2 linked regions of the Xenopus tropicalis genome follow. The protein of the gene in region 1 interacts with the protein of each later gene in a biochemical or structural test. Links are inferred from orthologs where the notes say so. Each region holds a gene or a part of one and is shown in the gene's direction. Other genes may lie near its edges.

Evidence for each region.
Region 2: the proteins of hnf4a (region 1) and srebf2 form a complex in vitro, tested with the Homo sapiens proteins (2 studies listed by BioGRID and IntAct). The link is inferred for Xenopus tropicalis from reciprocal best matches to the Homo sapiens genes HNF4A and SREBF2.

Annotation. Positions count from the first base shown.
Region 1 is NC_030686.2:38,457,794-38,461,454, reverse strand, and holds part of hnf4a (hepatocyte nuclear factor 4-alpha), read left to right. Parts: intron 1-3,067; coding exon 3,068-3,242; intron 3,243-3,661. UniProt on the Homo sapiens protein: Transcriptional regulator which controls the expression of hepatic genes during the transition of endodermal cells to hepatic progenitor cells, facilitating the recruitment of RNA pol II to the promoters of target genes. Activates the transcription of CYP2C38.
Region 2 is NC_030680.2:120,149,565-120,153,225, forward strand, and holds part of srebf2 (sterol regulatory element-binding protein 2), read left to right. Parts: intron 1-714; coding exon 715-976; intron 977-1,644; coding exon 1,645-1,814; intron 1,815-2,141; coding exon 2,142-2,304; intron 2,305-3,129; coding exon 3,130-3,241; intron 3,242-3,464; coding exon 3,465-3,574; intron 3,575-3,661.

The DNA of each region.
Region 1 (3,661 bases):
TATCCTTATCATTTACAGTAGGGGGTACATTACCCCTTCTCATACATCAGTGATACCCTGAGTTCCCTGCATAACTTTTGTGGCTTTTACTCTGAATTTTTTTATTGGTCAAATGTTGTCGGATGTTGAATTTTGTTGGTTTGTATTCTGATTAGTTGCCAAGTTGCAGTAAAGTGCTGGAATGACTTGTTAGGTCAGGGAAATGGCAAAGTGAAACCAGTTCAGCCTATTTGTACCTGCTACAACTAAGGAATCCTGTCACATCATCATAAGTTCTTTTGGGCAGGGCTCTCTTCACCTCTTGTATCGGTTATTGATTGCTTTATATGTTACTCTGTATGTCCCATGTATGAAACCCACTTATTGTACAGCGCTGCGGGATATGGTGCCGCTTTATAAATAAATATTATTAATAATAATCATAGGGATGTATGCCAGGGGCAAAATATAGGTTTTGAAACATCTGATAAGAACATCATGAGAATGTATTAAACAGATTTATGTACAGGCCCTCATTTGTTTAATTACTGCCGCCTCCTATTGGAATTGCCATAACCCTTGTTATCCAGTTGGTGCAGTGGCATCCAAGTAAGGAGTCATCCACAGAGCCCAGTAAAAGTATTATGATCTCACCTGATCATTCACTCTGAGATCTCCATTGCACACATTTGCACTGGCATTTGGCCAGGATATAGTAAATAGGTGTCCCAACTACTGGCAAAGAACCAGTACCAGTAGGATCATAGTCACTATACTAATATGCATGGGGGTAAAAGGTGCCCAGTTTTAGCCATGCAGGGATGCTAATTTGTCTGGCATCCTTTTTAAGATGGTATCAACTACTTTTGGCATTGGATGGGTTCATTGTATTTGAAGTGCCTTTACTAACTACTGGGAAGGCATGGGATGAGTAAAGTCTTGGTTCAGAACATTAAACCCACCCCATGGCACAAAAATGTTATGCTGGATGCTGGATGTTGCTGCAGAACCATCAAGCCAGTTTGCCATCCAATCACATATTCACCTGTACGATTTGGTTAAGAAAAGTACCAGCGTGTCAGGTGGAAATACTCTTGTTCTAAAGGGAAAAACATAAGAAGATATTGACCAATTTGGTGGAAATAGTCCAACTTACTATACCACCAAATTCAAAGTTGGCCAAACACATGAAAGTTCTGCTTTTTTGGTGCTATCACCACACAAGAGGATCTTTGCCTGATTTGGCAACCAAGGTAGTGGAAGAAACCAGGCTGATTTGGCTGGCCGCTGGCCCAATGAATGATGAAGAACAATAGGTCAGAGGGGGAACACATCAACACAAGCTTTTACAATGTGAGTTCATGTATGATATGTGTCATTCATAGCATGGAACATAGCATGTATCCTCTGATTCTTTCCAACCAATGGGAAGTTACTGTTGACCCCTTGCTATTTTTTTTTAGCAAAGGAGTCAATGAGCTTCCCTTCTTTTGGACTTTCTCTGCTGAGCGCCACATATTCTATGCCCAGTTCTATAGCTTTATAGTAACAAGAGCCAGTGAGAGGTAGATTGATGACTATATTTAGCCTGTATGATCTAGTCTTCAGAGGAATTCTTTCAATTGCAAGTACTTGTTCAGTCCTTCCTTGTGAAATATAAATTATGCAAGATATGTTTTTATTTGTACTTCCCCAGTCATTTTATTGGTGTTAATGTTGTCTTTTCCAGCCCACCCCTTGTTGGTGCTACTGGGCCACCCCAGTGTATGACCTTGTACAGGCAGAACACAGTGCCATTTTATTAGTTTGCCCAAGTAGAAATGCTTCTGGTTTTACCTACCTTGTAATCAGCACTTTTATGGCTCCATCTCTCCCTACTATACCTGCTATCCCACAGCCACAGTCCCTTCCCAGAGGCTATTATCCCCCCACTGCTACTATAGGCACCATCTCTCCCTACTATACCTGCTATCCCACAGCCCCAGTCCCTTCCCAGAGGCTATTATCCCCCCCACTGCTATTATAGGCACCATATCTCCCTACTATACCTGCTATCCCACAGCCCCAGTCCCTTCCCAGAGCTATTATCCCCCCACTGCTACTATAGGCACCATCTCTCCCTACTATACCTGCTATCCCACAGCCCCAGTCCCTTCCCAGAGGTTATTATCCCCCCACTGCTACTATAGGCACCAACTCTCCCTACTATACCTGCTATCCCACAGCCCCAGTCCCTTCCCAGAGCTATTATCCCACTGCTACTATAGGCACCATCTCTCCCTACTATACCTGCTATCCCACAGCCCCAGTCCCTTCCCAGAGGTTATTATCCCCCCACTGCTACTATAGGCACCAACTCTCCCTACTATACCTGCTATCCCACAGCCCCAGTCCCTTCCCAAAAGCTATTATCCCCCCCACTGCTACTATAGGCACCATCTCTCCCTACTATACCTGCTATGCCACAGTCCCTTCCCAGAGGCTATTATCCCCCCACTGCTACTATAGGCACCATCTCTCCCTACTATACCTGCTATCCCACAGCCACAGTCCCTTCCTAGAGGCTATTATCCCCCACTGCTACCATAGGCACCATCTGTCCCTACTATACCTGCTATCCCACAGCCCCAGTCCCTTCCCAGAGGCTATTATCCCCCCCACTGCTACTATAGGCACCATCTCTCCCTACTATACCTGCTATCCCACAACCACAGTCCCTTCCCAGAGGCTATTATCCCCCCACAGCTACTATAAGCACCATCTCTCCCTACTATACCTGCTATCCCACAGCCCCAGTCCCTTCCCAGAGGCTATTATCCCCCCCACTGCTACTATAGGCACCATCTCTCCCTACTATACCTGCTATCCCACAGTCACAGTCTCTTCCCAGGGGCTATTATCCCCCCACTGCTACTATAGACACCATCTCTCCCTACTATACCTGCTATCCCACAGCCGCAGTCCCTTCCCAGAGGCTATTATCCCCCCCACCGCTACTATTCTCTACTATTCTCTTCTTGTGTATTTAATATTAGTTGGACATTTTTTGCACATACTAATACTCTTTATAATCCCTTCCTTCCAACAGATACATCCCCCTCAGATGTGACAAGTCTTAATGCCACGAATAGTATCGGTGTTAACTCTCTGTGTGCCATTTGTGGTGACAGAGCGACTGGCAAACACTATGGGGCTTCCAGCTGCGATGGCTGTAAGGGTTTCTTCAGGAGGAGTGTTAGGAAAAACCATATGTACTCATGCAGGTGAGACAGAATTCAACTTCTGATGCCCTAAGTTATATAGATTTTATAAGTGCATAAACATCACCTGACTGACAATATACTATTATTGGTTTATTTGCTATCTATCTCTAAAGGGAAAGGATGGGGGTGATCCAGAGCTTTTATATTTTCCCCCCTCCCATAATTGCTCAAAAACCCCACAAACTAAAAGTGAAGTGATCGGCCTCTTGATCCAGGAGACATTTTACAAGAAACTTTATCACTACAGAGATTAGATGATTTATTTCTCACTTCAGATACTGAGTACACACACCCCGGCTGGGACTAGATAACCACAAGATGAATGTGCCACTTAGTAAATAAGTGTGGGGGGGAACTGATTGTATATTTTCTGATGCTTACAAATTATCCTGAAAACAAATGCCCAGTTACTGCCTTAG
Region 2 (3,661 bases), on another chromosome or scaffold:
CACTAACAATAAAAGAGGTACATGAACATTGATACAGAATGAGTGAATAAATTGTGCAGTCTATTACTAATAATTGAACCTGGGGCTTTTTCAAGGAAAATGCTTTTGGCTAACTAAATGTGTTTGTAGTTAATGTTGCATCACTTAGTACCTTCAAAGCGCATAACTCAGGAAAGATAACTGAACAGAGTGGTCTTAAAAGAAAATTGCTTTTTAGTGCTGAGTTATATACATAGATTAACTTCATTAATTCATTTTGCTAGTTAAAATGTACTTTGACTTGTTTCTTATGTAAGCAGAGTAACTAAATATATTGTATAGCTAGTGTGGAAAGGGTCACAGGGACTTCCAGTTCCTCACAGGTAGATATCATCTTTACTGGTTAAACTACATTGGGCTTCCTTAATGGTGTTACCTGTTTAAATTTAGCCAGGCAGTTTGTCTTTACCAAGAGGCTGCATTGCACCAATCACATGTGTGTCTTGGCATGCACATAGACCGATATAAAGATAACTTTTTCTGAAGAATGTGGTTACCCAGGAACCATAAATCTGTAGACCAAATGTTGTACTAAACAAGACTGAGCAGCTAACAACAAGTTTTTTTTTTTCCTTTTCATTCATTATGATATTTTATTAGAATGTACAAATTTATTTCACATGCAGCTGTTATGGGTCTCAGTATTTATTTCCATCTTTGCTTGATTGTTTCCAGGGGGATTTTGGTGCCGCAGCAATAAACCTGCAGACATGCTTGTGTGTTTTGGGACGCTCATTACCTGCCTCACGGTTTGATCTGGCATGCAGCCTTTCTTGGAACATCATTCGGTGTAGCCTGCAAAAGATCAGCCTTGTCCGTTGGCTGCTAAAACACTCCCCTGGGTACTGCAAAAAAGCAGAGTTTCAGGATGAGGCAACAACCAGTGCAAGGGATGCTGCCCTAGTATACCATAAACTGCACCAATTGCATCTGACAGGTAAAAACTACAAATAGCAGAAAAGTCTGGAAAAAAAGAATAGTAAAATATAGTAAAACGTTGCAATGCTGATCTTACATAAATGGAGAGGTTGTCACGGCTCTGTGTGTTTCCAATAATGCATCTTTTATTCATCATTATTATTATTAGGAGCACTAAAGGGTTGAAAGAAAGAGCTTTCTGTTTTCTGCTTAGCTTTACATAGTTACAGAAAAGAGGAAAACGTCAGAAATCAAAAATTGAGAAATTGAGCCATAGTCTCAATAATATCTAGAAAAGCAAATACATGTTTACCTTTAAATTGTGCTTCTGTCAGTGTCTAGGATATAAATAGGCATTCTCACTAAATCTCATCCTTAATTCCACTGCCACATGTCCAGGCCCCCTAGGGGGCCAACCCACAGTTTAGGAACCTCTGTTCTAAAGCATGCAGTATCACTAAAGTAGCAGTATCCAGGTTTCTTTAGGCAGTTTATTATTTATTGGTTGTGCTAGATCCATGAACAGTTTTTCTGTTAATTATTACACCATGTTTGGCAATTCAGTTTCGTAAATAATTTCTCAGCACTTTCAAGATCAATTCTTCAGAGAAGTTGTAGTATTTAGTGCACAGTTTGTCACAAAGCATATTGCATTCCTTCTTAATGAGTTTTTGTTTTTTTGTGCAGGGAAGCTGCCATCTAATTGGAATTGTTCAGGTCTCAACCTTGCTCTCTGTGCTGTAAACCTGGCCGAATGTGCTGGCAACAAGATCTCTCCAAATTTACTTGCAGAAATCCACCTAACTACAGCCATTCAAATGAAAACCAGTTTCCCAAGTAGATTCCGCTTTCTTACTGTAAGTTTAAAAAGTTTTATTTACAGTAAATATAAACCTGGATGAAATCTGTAATGATGGTGCTTAAAGCCAGAATGGTTCTGCTTCACACCACTTTAGTGATAGCATAGCTATATGCTCTAAAATCTTTTTTATTTTATTATTTTGGGCCTGTAACTATATATACCCATATGTATGTACTAACCCTCTGAAACATTGTGACTGAGAATATAGCACCTCATCAAAAGTTTTGGTACTTAAATCCTCTGTATTTTGCACTCCATTCTGCACTTTTTGTAGTTTCAGAATCAATTTATATGCAGACCTAATCCTTTATAATTCACACAGGCATATTTCCTTGGCTGTGCCCAAAATGCTTCTTCTGAGGAATCTCTTCCTGACCCCGTGCGATGGCTTGCGCATCCTTTGGGAAAATACTTTTTCATCAATTCTAACTGGGCTCTGAAGAGTGTGACTAAAGACTCTCTTTACACCTCAACAAGAAACCCAGGTACTTTATGGCCCAGTTAATGAGTGCGTATATCTTCTGAGAAATACAGTACATGTGGAGTCAACTGAAATAGTTCTAATGTTGGTATATGTTAATTGTAATAGCACATCCTACTGTGGTGATAAGCAACTGCAGATATTGGAAGATTTACAAATCCCAGTTAATGGAGAAGGAAAGGCTAAGTCACTTGGGGGTGCCAAAATGTTAGGCACCCCCAAGTGACCTTAATCGCTTACCTTTTACCCCGGGCTGGTGCCCCTGTTAGGAGAGAACTGCACCAGCCCGGGGTAGCTGCAGCAAGCGTCTCAATTTCCTTTGCGCGCTTGCGCATGCGCAGTAGAGCAAAAAGCCGAACTTTAACAAAAAAGTCAGCTTTTTCACTCTACTGCGCATGCGATGACCCAGGGATTCCATAGACAGAAGACATACGGAAGAGGAAATACTCTCTGCAACTACCCCAGGCTGGTGTGGTTTTCTTATAACGGGGGCACCAGCCCGGGGTAAAAGGTAAGCGATTAAAGTCACTTAGGGGTGCCTAACATTTTGGCACCCCCAATTGACTTAGCCTTTCCTTCTCCTTTAAGCTTAAGTTTAGTGCTGAAAATTCTACAGCATCAGTAGAACAAAAGGTTGCCTGTTCCTGTCATAACAAATGTATTCTGTTGGTTAACTTTTGTTAAATCGGGTGTTAATCTATTATAATGATCGATAAATCCAAATAAAGGGAAGTGTAGTTTAACTTCTTTGAAAGGGTTGCTGGGACTATAGTAACTAGCACTTTTAAGTGGAAACTTTTGACTGACACCTTTAAATTCTGCAATGCAGCTGATCCAGTTACACAGATTCATCGTGCTTTTTGTGAGTCTCTGCTGGAAAAAGCAATGTACACCATGGCGAAACCAGAAACCAGTAAAGCACCCCCTGAAGAGGAGAGTTGGTAGGTATTTAGGCAAAAATAAAATAAGCTCTTTTAAGGGATAGCAAAGTGCAGTAAAAAAACAACTAAGTGAAGGTATTAGGCATAGTAACCATAAGTTTGGTTTCAGTAGCATATGGGAAATAAAGGAAACTGAAGGATCTTTTCAATCCAGCAATTTTTAGAGGGAATCTTGTATTTTTCCTTAGTAACGTATTTGTAACATAAACTATTTGTTTTTCAGTGAGTTTTCCAGAGCTCAGGAATATTTAAAACTTCTCAGTGGGTTTGCAGATTCAGTGGGAAACATTGCCTCTCTTCCCCTCAGTGGATCTTCCCCCATGTCATCTGCAGGTAAAGCTTCTATGAAAAGAAAATTGCAACAAAATAATAGTTATGTGGTAGACATCTGTTTTCAAGGTACAGGTATAGGACCCATTA